Caenorhabditis elegans: one gene and its partner. The protein of the gene in region 1 interacts with the protein of each later gene in a pairwise test. Each region holds a gene or a part of one and is shown on either strand. Other genes may lie near its edges.

Region 1 (5,981 bases):
TTTTTTCCAAATGTCTAAAATGACCTGGATAACTGAGAAGCTGCTGCTGCTGCTGGTGACGGAGATGACTCTTTTATTTCAGTTTTTTTCAAACGAGACGCACTTTGAGACCCCGGCGGTTGGACCATTTGTTTCGAAACTCGAGACGTCGAATTTGTGACCTTGTTCTCCAAATAATGATACTTCTCATGTACTGTGAATTAAAAATTTTAAATTTTTGTAGTAGAAACAACAATTAGTTGTACCTTGTGACCTCATCATTCTCATCAATCGAATCAATTTTGTTTTCGCAAAAAGTTGATAAAGATGAGTTGTCGAGTATCCTTTCGAGCTCCATATTCTTAAAAGTAACTCCGATGGACTTTGGTTATAACTTGAATATCTCTTGCAACCTTCAACATCTCTCAACTCAATTCCGGGCATGTAAGGTGCTGAAATTATGGATATTTGAACACTTTGCTATTTATATTCCCCAGACGTGAAATTTTGTGATTTCTCTGTCTAGGTCTCGACGCGACAATTGTTTTGTTAAATGCGAAAATGTGTGCGCCTTTAAAAGTGGTGTAGTCGAATTTTTGTTATTGCTTTATTAGACTCAAAACTATCTGAAAACACCGAATTTCATAATGAAACTTTTTGAAAACTTCTCAAAAAATAGTTATGACAGCTCAAAAAATGACCTAAAATTTGTTAAAATTTGAAATTTGACCGACTTGTAAAGCGGCTGGAAACAATTTTTTTGAAATCACCGTCAAATTTTGAGTATACATGTCAATTAACTTGCGTTTTCGACTACTACTTTACAATTAGGTATTTTAAAGTCGATGGACGGCGAGATTTGGTTTAAAAAAATTGTTAAAAATCTCGTCGTCCATAGACTTTAAAATACTTAAATCAAGTTGAAAACGCAAGATAATTAACTGGTATACCTACAATTAGACGGTGATTTCAAAAAAGTTCGTTTCCAGCCGCTTTACAAGTCGGTCAAATTTCAAATTTTAACTTATTTTAGGCCATTTTTTAAGCTGTCATAACTTTTTTTAGAAGTTTTATTAAGAAATTCGGTGTTTTCAGACAATTTTGAGTCTAATAAAGCAATAACAAAAATTCGACTACACCACCTTTAAAGGAAAACTATAAAAAAATTCGATGAAAAATCCGCAGATTCGAATGTTTGAAATAACTATTCTTTAAAGTGCTTTAAGAATTAAAGGCGCACACCGTTTCGCATATAACAAAAATTTGTCGTTTCGAGACCCTATTTTTGGAGCAAAAACCGCGAAATTTCAATGATTTGTTATAAAAAAGTCCGAACCAATCGTCTCCCAAGTGTTATCCGTATCTAAAATCGCACATATTTGCTGGAGAACTTCTCGTTTCATGAATGGAATCATTACAACTTCTGATACTCCAAGAGAATCATCCATTGTCTCTGAAAAATTCCAGATTATTTTTAAAAATATGTATTTAAACAATTTTAACAAGTTTAATTTTAAAAGAGTAGCTAATCAAAAATTATTTTGCTTTATTAAACTAAAAATGGTCCCAAAATATCGAATTTCATAACAAGACTGTTCAAAAATGCTTTTAAAAGGTTTATTTCCGCTAAAATCTCCAATTTCACCAACTTTTCCGTTTCACAGCGATCGGAAATTGATTTTTATCTGACTATTGCCCTATTTTGCTCATTTTCCTATTTATCTTCTGTTTTTTTGTTGATTTAATAGTTTGGATTTAAAAATTAAAATTTTAGATGATAAATTAACGAAACAACGCAAGAAAACCAATAAAAATATTCAAAATAGAAGAAAAATCAAATAAAAATCAATTTCTAACCGTTGTGTAACGAAAAATTGGGAAAATTCTATTTTTTCTTCGAAATTAATTTTTTTCTCGTTATAAAATTCGGGGTATTCGGGCCTTTTTGAGTATAATAAAGCAATAAAACTCCTCCTTTGATTGGTTTTTTGAAAAAATGTATAGAATGTTTTGAATGTGTTTTTATTATATTTTTAAAAATAAAAATATTTTAAATTAAAATTAAAATTTAATATTTAATTAAACTTATAAAACGAACAATTCTGAAATTCCAATAAATCCAAAAGCGGAGGAAAGCGGAGTGTCGTCACTTCCTCTCGTCGTCTCATCCCTCTCCCTCTCTCTACATTTTCTCTCTCTTCCATTCCATTACTTGGCACATTCTTCTGGAGATGTCACCTAGAAAACAGATGTTTTTGCAACACTGGAAGAGTAGATCAATAATAAAAGAATGGATATACAGGTGAGCGCGCACAGATTTGATCTCCACACCATAAACGATTTACAACCAATGAGGTCAAATATTGTAGAAGGCATTCGATCTACCTTATTAATGTCATTTCTTTCTTCCCTTTTTTTCAGCTTTTTTTTTGCTTTTTTTCCATAATTTGGAGGTCTGGCAATAACAATTTTACTTTCAAGCTGGAGTACCGAAATCTGAGACTTTGTTTTTTACACCCAAAATAGCCCAAAAATACCGAATTGGTAATGGGACGTTTTGAAAATTTCTCAAAAAAAAGTTATGGCAGTTGAAGGTTCTGGAAAAATGGCACATTTTCAGCTAAAATCAAAATTTTGGTCAACTTCTCGGTGTCACAGCGTCTGGAACATCATTTTTATGTAATTATCACTATTTAAAGACTATTGCGGTCTTCTATTAAGCGTTTATTCGTTGATTTAAACATATTTTCGGTAAGTGGGACACAAATAAAAGTTACATTTTTGTGCCCCACTGACAATAAATGTACTTAAATCAACGAATAAACGCCTAATAAAAAACAAAAATATTCTTTAAAAAGTGATAATTGAATCAAAATTAAGTTCCAGACGCTGCGACACCGAGAATTAGACAAAAATGTTGATTTTAGCTGAAAATTAGCCTTCTTTCCAGAACTTTGAGCCACCATAACTTTTTTTTTTGAGAAATTTCCAAAACGTCTCATTACACAATTCGGTAGTTTTGAGTCATTTTGGGTCTAAAAAAGCAAGGGTTCAGATTTCGGTACCCCATCTTTAAAATATTCAAATGGATCCAAATGCTGAAATCCCACAAAATTAAGTTTTAGAAATACAGTTAATTTCTGACGAATTTTTCAACTTTCTGCCGAAATTGATAAAAAAAACCAAAGTGCGGCACAGAAAAATGGGCGTGGTTAAGTGGCTAAAGTGCGGAAATTCAAATTATTCAAAAAAGGATATTATGAAGAAGCGAAAATTCGTCACAATCAACTTTTTTGTTAAACTCTGTAAATTTATATTGTCTGCTTTTGAATCCATTCGCGTATTTTAATTTATTCATTTATTACTTTTTCAGATGTTCACCACGCTCAACTCTACTGTTCCAACGGAACCCGTGGTGGGACCTGTGGAACCTACAGTACCTACAGTACCCGCCACAAAAGAGACTGGCCCTTCAAGCTCTGCAGAGTGCTCTACCCAACCCGCCGTTGCCGAGCAAGAAGACAACTCCCTTTTGGCACAACTTTTAAAAGGAAAAATCACGTCTGATGATGCAAAGTTGCAACCACCACGTGGACCTTTCGAATACGCACCGATGCTCTCCGAGGAGGCACAATTTGCGATTAAGCTGGCGGGTCTTCTCAACCCGAATCCGGTCACTGAACAGGACCCGAGCACTTTCAAGCCGCCTCCGAAAATGAGCAATAATGTTCGAAAAAACATTAATTTGACTCCGGTTATTGAGAATGCAGTTCCGAGTGGATTTGAACTGGAAAGTCCGAAAGATCAGGCATTTGATGTGGTTCATGGAAGACTATCTATGGGACAGAATCAGACATGTTATTTTGTACGTTTACGGTAGAAGTTCAATATTAAAATTTAAATAATCTTCCAGGTCACAGTCGAGGAAATGAGACGAAGATTGCAAAGTCCGGAGAAGCTCAATAGTTCGAGTATCGCATGCAATCTTAAAAGGCCAAAACTGAAGAATGGAGGTGAACTGATGCGCGCTCAACTGAGAGATCATGGAATCAAGGTTCAACTGAATGCGAAACAGAAGGCTTTTCCCAACAAAGTGATCGCTTTGGTCGAAGCGGAAGCTGTTCATTTGGGACTTGATCTTGGAACAGCTGTACGAGATGATTATCCAGTTCAAGATATAATTCAAGAAGTTGCTCATGAAGCATTGGCTGACGAGGATGCAGATCTGGATGCGTTGATGAATGATAAGGATTTCACGTAAGTTGACTATATTCCAATTTCTCAATTCTGACGCCAAATTCCAAATATTTCAGAGAATGTATGTCAGCACTTGAATCAGTTTTCACATCAGTCGTCCCTCCGATCACTGGAATCGAGCCAAAACCGTCGAACAACATGCGACTGAACAATGGAATGGAGACCTTTTCATCAGCTTCACATGGACTTGGAATCGTGTCTCAACGGGTTTGGCTCCCCCAATTGACTGCAATCGGAAATGGAGTCGCATCTGAACTTCGACGCTTGACAGAGACGCCAACTGAATCAAAGCCAGAGGAATTGAAAGCATAAATTCATATTTTCATATTCTGATATTTAAAACAATCTGATTACCAAGGTCTCACTTATTTTCCATGATCTCTATGATGTTTTCACTTAATTTCAATGAAACTTTTTATTTATTTAAATCCTCATACGATGTTCCTTAGTACTAGGAAATGCATCATTAAAAATGATTTTCATATTGCTAGTACGTCTTATAGAGTAGCTTCGAATTCACTTTATACATTTGAATAATATTGAATTTTATAGGTTTTACACATCATTTTGATCATTTTGATGTGTAAAACTTTGAAAAATTCATTATTATTCAAATGTATAAAATGAATTCGAAGCTTCTCTATAAGACGTACTAGCAACATGAAAATAATTTTTAATGATACATATTCCAAAACTGAAAATTAGGAATTTCTTTACCCCCGTTCCTCACGTGAAAACATTTATTGACCCTGTGGCAATGTGCGCTTGCGCGTCTGCGTCTCCAGAAGGCGTAATCTCTCGTGTTCAAACACTTTCTCAACTGACCATTTGTTTGCGTCGTTGCCGACGGCTTAACCATATGTTGCCTTTTCCCCCTTACATTTATACAAGACAGTAATATTAATAAATCGGTTTGATCTACAAAAATGCGGGAATTTTTTGGTCAAAAAATGTGACGTCAGCACGTTCTTAACCATTCGAAATCAGTTGACAGCTCTGCATCTAAATTCCCGCATTTTTTGTAGATCTAAGTAAATCCAGCTGAAATGAGCCATCTGACACCACGTGATTTACTGAAACATTATTTTCCAGTCAAAAATGGGATTAGCTCAGTCCCACTCGCGGACGCCCTCTCGTGATCCACTTCCAAATGACCATCAAGTAATGGATGTGTATGAAGAGTCTGGTCCAAGACGGGGAAGAAAACGAAAAGCGGCAAAAGGAAGTGAGATTGAGATGAAGAAAGTGGCAAAACTGAACACATGTGCATATGTATATCAGAAATTGTTTTTACAGGTTAGAATAAATTGAATTTTTAGTGCAAAATGGGTAACTAAAATATGGAGTTGACTAAATTAATGCAATAAAATTCCAAAATGAATGTTTTGTTTCAACAAATTTGAGATTTCTTCGTCACGAATCTGGTAAATTGTGTTTTTTTTTAATTTTGTAACATGGAAAAAGAAAAAACTGATTATTTAGTTCGAAAACCTACATTTTAGTATTTTTTCACTAATTATGCCAACTATATACCGTATTTCCTCTATTAGTCTTGCATGCAAGAGAAAATTGCCAAAATTGTTACTATTGTGCTGAAATTTTATTCTCAGAATTTTTAAAATTACAGGCAAAACAGGGCCACTCGTAATTTTGAACGTCTACCAAAAATTGATTTTTACTATGATTTTGGAATTTTTAAAATTCCGGAAATATCGTAAATTTTTCCAAAAGTCCAAATTTTTTGA
Region 2 (8,675 bases), on another chromosome or scaffold:
TAAAAATCGAGCCAAAACACCTAATTTTAGCTGAAAAACTCGAATTTTGTCTCACATTTTTTGCACATTTTTTGAACATTTTTTGTACATTTTTTGCACATTTTTTGAACATTTTTTGCACATTTTTTGAACATTTTTTGAACATTTTTTGTACATTTTTTGCACATTTTTTGAACATTTTTTGCACATTTTTTGCACATTTTTTGCGCATTTTTTGCACATTTTTTGCACATTTTTTTGCATATTTATTGCACATTTTTGCACAGTTATTGCACATTTTTGCACATTTTTTTGCATATTTTTGATAAATCCATATATCCTAACACTTTTTTTTTCTTCTTTTTCCGATTTTACAAGGTTTTTCGGAGAAAAAAAAATTTCTAATGAATATTTCAATATTTTCTAGACATTTTTTCTCTGAAAAACACTAAAAATCGAAAAAAAAACCCGATTTTCTGTATTTTTCAGGTAAAATTTTTAATACTGGAGAATCGAAAAACGGTAAAAAAGTAGATATTTCAGCTAAAATTAAGCGTTTTTTTTTTACGAAATCCGGTTTTTTAAAGCTATTTTGTGATGAAAATTTTTATCAACAAAAAAAAGAAGATTTTTTTTCCAAAAAAATAGTCAAAAATTAGAGATTTTAGCTAAAACTAGGCGTTTTTTTCTAATTTTTTTTTCACGAAATCCGTATTTTCTAGACCATTTTAAATATCAAAAAAAAACATAAAAATCAGTAATAAAAACGCCGTACCACTGGCATATTATAGACATTCTTGAGAATAAATTCGATATCCCGTGATTCAATTTTCTTCACCTCCCGATTCTTGATCATTTTGCATGCTTTATCGATTAGAGAACTGACAAAATCGTCGGCGTACTCCACAAGAACATCTTTTACATTTTCTTCGAGTACTGTTGTTGAGCTGATTTGTTGCATCAAATCATCCAGTTTTGACTGAAAAAAAAATTTTAAAAAAAAGAAGATTTTTTAAAATAAGAATTTTCGGTTTTTTCAGTGAAAATCAAAAAATCGGAAAAAAAAATTTTATAGAGTTTTTGAAAAAAAAAAACTACGAAAATTTTAGGCTATTTTTTTTTTTTTTTTTATTAATTGTTATAATTTTCGATTTTTTTGTTTGAAAATCTTGAAAATCGAAAATTTAAAATTTTTTAATTAGAAAATTAAACAAAAACTCTTAATTTTACAAGAATTTTTACAAGAAAAATTACCAAAAATTTAGGCATTTTTTTCAGTGAAAATTTAAAAATCGAATTTTTAATAGCAAATTTACAAAAAATTCCATTTTTAATTTCATTATTTTTTCAGGAGCAAAGCAAAAACTAGTGTATGCAGAAGTTCGAATTTTTTTCAAAGTTCAAAAAAAAATTTAAAAATTGTATTGAAAAATTGGAAATTTTCGTTTTTCGTTTAAAAAAAATCGAATTTTCAATAAATTCCGGCCATTTTTCAATACTTTATAGAAAAAAAAAATCACTTTTTTCAATAAAAATCAGCATATTTTTTGATAAATCTATAGCTTTTTCGTCCCCTTCCGTGAATTCTTTGTGCATTTTTTTTCCTATTTTCTCTGAAAAAAAAGACCGAAAAATCTGAAATTTGCTCATTTTCTATGAAAAGACAATCCAAAAAATTTTTTTTTTGCGAATTTTTGCTAGAGAAATTTGTAATTGAAAAAAAAACTAAAAAATCAGAAAATTTTTTAAATTTTCCTGAAAAAACCTGAATTTTTTTCGATTTTCTTTGAAAAAAAATCGGAAAATCTGAGCTTTATTCGATTTTTTCTGAAAAAATTTCAAAATTAAATAAAAATCAATTTTCCAAGTATTTTTGCCGGTTTTTTTGCCGAAATTTCCAAGTATTTTTGCCGGTTTTTTTGCCTAAATTTCCAAGTATTTTTGCCGGCTTTTTTGCCGAAATTTCCAAGTATTTTTGCCGATTTTTTTGCCGGAATTTCCAAGTATTTTTGCCGGTTTTTTTGCCGAAATTTCCAAGTATTTTTGCCGGTTTTTTTGCCTAAATTTCCAAGTATTTTTGCCGGTTTTTTTGCCGAAATTTCCAAGTATTTTTGCCGGTTTTTTTGCCGAAATTTCCAAGTATTTTTGCCGGTTTTTTTGCCTAAATTTCCAAGTATTTTTGCCGGTTTTTTTGCCGAAATTTCCAAGTATTTTTGCCGGTTTTTTTGCCTAAATTTCCAAGTATTTTTGCCGAAATTTTCAAGTATTTTTGCCGGTTTTTTTGCCGAAATTTCTAAGTATTTTTGCCGGTTTTTTGTTGCACCTTTTCCATAATACTTCCATACGGAACAGCGGCCGGTATCATTTGAGGTGGCGGTGCCTGTTGCTGTTGTGGCTGTGGAATTGGAGGCTGTTGAATTTGTTGAGATGGTGGTGGCTGCTGATGTTGCTGCTGATGTTGTACTTGCATAATTTGTTGAGGAGGCAGCGGCATTGGAGACGAGTTTGGCTGGAAATTTTGAAAAATTTTGCCCAAAACTAATGGTTTTTATAGTTTTTCCATTAAATCGGGCTCTTTTTGAGCTCCAAAAAATATTACGCCACGACAAATTTGGCGAATTTGCCGGTTTTTTACGAGCTCGATCGGTAAACGTTGCCTTTTTAGTTCCGGCAATTTGCCGATATGCCGGAAATTTTAATTCCGGCAATTTGCGGGAAAATTGAATTCCGACATTTTGCCGATTTTGTCGGAAATTTCAATTCCGGCAATTTGCCGATTTGCCGGAAATTTTAATTTCAGCAAATTGTCGATTTTGTCGGAAATTTCAATTCCGGCAATTTGCCGATTTTGTCGGAAATTTCAATTCCGGAAATTTGCCGATTTGCCGGAAATTTTAATTCCGGCAATTTACCGGTTTTGCCGGAAATTTCAATTCCGGCAATTTGCCGATTTGCCGGAAATTTCAATTCCGGCAATTTGCCGATTTTGCCGGAAACTCACCACAAATTGTGGTGGTCCACCACCTCCTTGCTGCTGCATCATATGTTGTGGCGGAGGCCCTCCGACCATTCCCATTAAATGTCCAGATGGTCCTGGCTGGAAACATTTTAAAATTAGAGGATTTTTAAGCGGATTTCCAAAAATAACTGCAGAAAAAGTCTTAAAAATGCCCAAAATATGCGAAAAAAAAATTTTTTTTTTGAAGAAATTATACAAGCCTTGAAATTTTCACCGCTGCTCCGCTGCTCCACTGCAGAAATTGTTTTGTAACATTTTTTAGAACAATTTTTCAGAGATTTTTGATCCCGTGGACCCAAATTCCCGAAAAAAGGTTTTTCTTGGGTCTCAAACGGAAGCTTTTTTTAAATTCAAATTTCCCAGATAATAACCGCCCCCGTACCCCTTGAGCCATGCCCATCTGCATTGGTCTCTGTTGCATTTGCATTGATTGCCCATTCGGTGTGAATTGTTGGGGCTGCTGCTGTTGTGGAATACCCATTTGTTGAAAGTGTTGCTGCTGCTGCTGCTGTGGTGGTGGAGGGCCCGCACGCATTTGTGGTGATGGGTATGGCATTTGGCGGACTAAAATTACGAATTATTTCATGAGAAGCCTTATTAAAGAGACGGTGTAGTCACCGAAAATATGAAGATTTTCGCTAGAATTAGGCGATTTTCGGAAATTCAGCATAATTGGAACATCGTCCAATCAGCGTACCGCTCCGCCCACTTCTGGACCAATCAGACGGAGTGGGCGGGGTTTGAAGATGCTGATTGGTAGGAAAATACTCGAAAATTGGTAAATTAAATATTTTAAAAAAGCGATTTTTAAAATGGAATTCTTTGAATTTTTTAAAAGCGATATCTACATTTACCCAAAGCCGCCTTAAATTACACCTAAATTAACGAAAAACGTGAAATAAATATGCAAATTAGGATGAAAATTGAATAAAAATCAATTTCTAGCCACCCTGGCACCGAAAAAATGGAGATTTTAGGCGATTTTCGGAATGTCTGGTAGATCATGGTGTGATCTGCAAAAAATGCGGGAATTTTTGGCCCAAAAAATGTGACGTCAGCACGTTCTTAACCATGCAAAATCAGTTGAGAACTCTGCCGCATTTTTTGTAGATCAACGTAGATCAAGCCGAAATGAGACACTCTGACACAATGTGTGGTTAGGAAATTTGAAAATTCAGCAAAATTAAAACAGCGACCAATCAGCGACCGGCTCCGCCCACTTTTGGACCAATCAGACGGAGTGGGCGGAGAGCTAATTTTAGTAAAATTTGAAAATCACGATTTTTTTTCCGTTTTTTTTGTGGTTTTTCTGAATTTGAAACTATTTTTTTTGGATATTTTTAAAGGTGGTGTAGTCGAATGTTTTTATTTGCTTTATTAGACTCAAAATTGTCTGAAAACACCGAATTTCATAGTGAAACTGTTTGAAAACTTCTCAAAAAATAAGTTATGACGGTTCAAAAAATGACCTAAAATTAGTTAAAATTTGAAATTTTACCGACTAGCCAAGCGTCTGGAAACAATTTTTCGAAATCACCGTCAAATTTTAAGTATACAATTTAATTATCTTGCGTTTTCAACTTCATTTAAGTATTTTAAAGTCGATGGACGGCGAGATTTGGTTTTAAAAAATTTAAAAATCTCGTCGTCCATCGATTTTTAAATACCTTAATCAAATTTAAAACACAAGGTAATTAACTTATATACTCAAAATTTGACGGTGATTTCAAAAAAAAATGTTTCCAGCCGCTGCGACATTGATAAGTTGGTCAAATTTCAAACTTTAACTAATTTTAGGTCATTTTTTGAGCCGTCATAACTTATTTTTTGAGAAGTTTTCAAAAAGTTTCACTATGAAATTCGGTGTTTTCAGACAATTTTGAGTCTAATAAAGCAAATAAAAACATTCGACTACACCACCTTTAAAAATATCCAAAAAATAGTTTCAAATTCAGAAAAACCACAAAAAAAAACGGAAAAAAATCGTTAAAAAAATTTAAAAATCTCGCCGTCCATTGATTTTTAAATACCTAAATCAAGTTGAAAATGCAAGAAATGCACTAATTTTAGGCCATTTTTTGAGCCATCATAACTTTTTCCTGAAAAGTTTTCAAGAAGTTTCATTATTAAATTCGATGTTTTCAGACAATTTTGAGTCTAATACAGCAATAAAAAAAAAATTCAACTACACTCTCTTTAAAAATATCCAAAAATACATTAAAATTCAGAAAAACCACAAAAAAAAAAACGGAGAAAATCGCGATTACAAACTCCGCCCACTCCGTCTGATTAGTCCAAAAGTGGGCGGAGCCGGTCGCTGATTGGTCGCTGTTCCAATTTTGCTGAATTTCCGAATTTCCTAACCACACATTGTGTCAGAGTGTCTCATTTCGGCTTGATCTACGTTGATCTACAAAAAATGCGGCAGAGTTCTCAACTGATTTTGCATGGTTAAGAACATGCTGACGTCACATTTTTTTGGGCCAAAAATTCCCGCATTTTTTGTAGATCACACCATGATCTACCAGACATTCCGAAAATCGCCTAATTCTAGCGAAAATCTCCATTTTTTCGGTGCCAGGGTGGCTAGAAATTGATTTTTATTCAATTTTCATCCTAATTTGCATATTTATTTCACGTTTTTCGTTAATTTAGGTGTAATTTAAGGCGGCTTTGTGTAAATGTAGATATCGCTTTTAAAAAATTCAAAGAATTCCATTTTAAAAATCGCTTTTTTTAAATATTTAATTTACCAATTTTCGAGTATTTTCCTACCAATCAGCATCTTCAAACTCCGCCCAATCTACCTGATTGGTCGAAAAGTGGGCGGAGCGAATCGCTGATTGCTCAGGCATTTCTCATTTTGGAGGTAATTCGAAAAATCATGTTTTTCGAGTTAACTTTTTCACTTTTTCGCGATTTTTTTCTTTTTTCTTCGGAAAAAACGTAAAATAGCCGACTAAAATAGGCGGAATAGGACAAAATTGGAGATTTCAGCTAAATTTTGAGCAATTTTTTTTTCATTTTTCACGGAATTATTTCTGAATTTGAGGCATTTTTTAGGAGTTTTTTCTTCATACTTTGCTGCTGTGGCATCTGCATTCTCATCGGGCCGCCCATTCCACCCATCGGCGGTTGGCCCACAAACTGCTGCTGCTGCTGCTGTTCGTTGGGATTCTGATGGCCTTGTGGCGGAATTCCCTGCTGCATTGGCTGAAAATGTGGGTGATAGACGTGATATCCATGATGGTAGGGCCACATTTTTTAGTATTAGTAAATATATATATATATATGGACAGAGGACGACGAGAAGCTTTTGTGATGGAAATGGTTTTGTCGGGGGAAGAAGAGAAGCACAATCGATATGAGAATAATACACATACACTTTGGACGTTTACGGGGGAAAAAAAACGGAGAGGCGCTCCGATTTTTTATTATTTTTATTCGTTTTTTTTGTTTTTTTTTTGTCGGCTGGCCGGTGAGTCATTGTTGGGACAGAAAGCAATAATTAGAGAGCGGACACACAAATCGCTTACAGAATTCGTGGAGAGAGCGGCGGCGATTTGCGGGTTCGCCTGCACGATTACGTGATTATTCGGTGAAGTTGGAGGTGAGAATTCTTCCATTTTCATTTTTTATCTGCAACTAAGTTTTTTTTTGATGATTTTAAAGCTTAAAATCTTTCGGAAAACCGAGGAAAATGGAAATATATTCATAAAAATGAATAAATTCGTTAAATTCGATAAATTTTCCACAGTACCTCGGTCGTTGTGAGACCCAATGTTAAACAAAAGCATTGCGCCTTTAAAGTTATACGGTGAAACTTTTCAAGCAATTTCTATTTTTTTCCGAATTTTTAGTTGCTAATTATTATTTTTGATTAAATATTACGAGAAAAATTTTAATTTTGAAGAATTTCTTCAAATAAAGTTTAAAAAACCGAGGAAAAGTCAAAATTAATAACTGAAACTCGGTTCGCTGTGAGACCCAAACTTAAAAATAGCAATGCGCCTTTAAACTTATACGGTTGTATTTTTAGGCAATTTAAAGTGAATTTATGTTTTTTCCAGAATTATAGTTGCTAGCTATTATTAATTTTAAAACCGAGTGAAAATTTTAACTTTGAGAATTTTCTTTTAAAAAAAACCAAGGAAAAATCAAAATTAATGACTGAAACTCGGTTCGCTGTGAGACCCAAAGTTAAACAACAGCAATGCGCCTTTAAAGTGATACGGTGGCGATTTTCAAGCAATTTAAAATCAAATTGAATTTATTGGAAAAAATCAATGAAAAAGACCTAAACTAATAAATATTCAAAGTTTTATTCTCGAATTGCACATAATATTATGCGCCGAAACCTCGTAAAATTAGGCAGATTCTGATATAAGGGAAAAACGATCCGAAAAATGTAGGACATTGGGGGAATAGAGACGTAGGGGGTGGTGGCGAGAAATTGAGGCCAATGAAGAGAACGAGAGACCTCTCTAGCTCTTTTCCGTCTCTTCTCGCAACTATCTCTCTCTCTCTCTCACTAGTGTGGTTTATTAGAACCTAAATGAGCGTGGCCGTGGGAAAACCTAGGCCACGCCGTTGCGAGGAAGTGCAAGTAAACAGAAAAAAGACGACGGCGGACGTCTTATAAAAACAAACATGTCACATTTTGTTGTCCACTCTGTCATTATTTTGCGAAAGAATTGGGATCGAATTGGGAAGTACATTTTTGGGTCTCGCCGCGATTGTTTTCTTTAATTGAATATAACTGTACCATGTGATCACTGGAAATGGAAAAACATATTTTATCTAACATTGGTTGAGGAAAAGGCAATAAAAACAATTAAAATATCGAGTTATTACAGTACACCGAGGTTTAAAGGCGCATGAGGGTTTTGAAAAGTCAAAGTAAAACTGGATATTAGCGTAAAATTTTGTTCGGTCATAATCGAGTATATTCGTAAAGTTAAAAAAAAATTTGGGTGTTTGGTTTTAAAATAATGTTTTTTTGAAAATTGAGTTTTTACTAAATTTCAGCTAAAGAAAAACTTGAATTTTAGTCGAATTTTGAACGGTGGGTAATAATTTTTTGTGTTTATATTATTATTCAGACATCAGTAAGTAAATTGGTAAAGTTTGAAAAAAATTTGGGTGTTTGGTTTCGAAGAAAATAATTTTTTGAAAATTTGAATTTTTATTCATTTTCAGCTAAACTAAAACTGAAATTTCAGACAAATTTCGAACGGTGGGTATTAATTTTTTGTGTTTATATTATTATTCAAAGATCAATTAGTATATTGGTGAAGTTTTAAAAAATTTGTGTGATTGGTTTTGAATAAAATAATTTTTTTGAAAATTGGAATACATATTAATTGGGAGCTAAACTAAAACTGGAATTTCAGTCAGATTTTGAACGGTGGGTATTAATTTTTTGTGCTTATATTATTATTCAGACATCGGTTAGTATAATCGGTTAGTAGATTGGTAGTTAAAAAAAATTTGGGTGTTTGGTTTTGAAGAAAATAATTTTTTGAAATTTGTAATATGTTCATCGGCAATGGCTGGTGGCCTAGAATTTCCCAATTAGGCCATCAAATCTGAAATTAAAAAAGCACATATTCAGCTGTAAAATAATTTATTCAACGTGTTTTTCTTCACAAATCACAGAAAATATTCAAGATTAAAT

The links.
Region 2: the proteins of aptf-2 (region 1) and taf-12 interact in a two-hybrid assay, tested with the Caenorhabditis elegans proteins (one large-scale study listed by BioGRID).

Annotation. Positions count from the first base shown.
Region 1 is NC_003282.8:13,412,243-13,418,223, reverse strand, and holds aptf-2 (Transcription factor aptf-2), read left to right. Parts: upstream 1-2,172; 5' UTR 2,173-2,269; coding exon 2,270-2,281; intron 2,282-3,352; coding exon 3,353-3,844; intron 3,845-3,892; coding exon 3,893-4,236; intron 4,237-4,292; coding exon 4,293-4,548; 3' UTR 4,549-4,664; downstream 4,665-5,981. Other genes in the region: Pelle-like serine/threonine-protein kinase pik-1, read right to left, coding at 25-193, 246-431, 1,316-1,427; gcl-1 (BTB domain-containing protein), read left to right, coding at 5,335-5,532. UniProt on the Caenorhabditis elegans protein: Sequence-specific DNA-binding protein that interacts with enhancer elements to regulate transcription of selected genes. Required for neuroblast and epidermal morphogenesis, perhaps acting in cooperation with transcription factor aptf-4.
Region 2 is NC_003281.10:11,862,645-11,871,319, forward strand, and holds the start of taf-12 (Transcription initiation factor TFIID subunit 12), read right to left. Parts: upstream 6,638-8,675; 5' UTR 6,631-6,637; coding exon 6,535-6,630; intron 6,212-6,534; coding exon 6,079-6,211; intron 3,563-6,078; coding exon 3,381-3,562; intron 3,077-3,380; coding exon 2,981-3,076; intron 2,489-2,980; coding exon 2,303-2,488; intron 959-2,302; coding exon 755-958; intron 1-754. UniProt on the Caenorhabditis elegans protein: Part of the general transcription factor complex TFIID. Plays a role in recruiting taf-4 to the nucleus and thereby activating transcription initiation by RNA polymerase II, as part of the TFIID complex.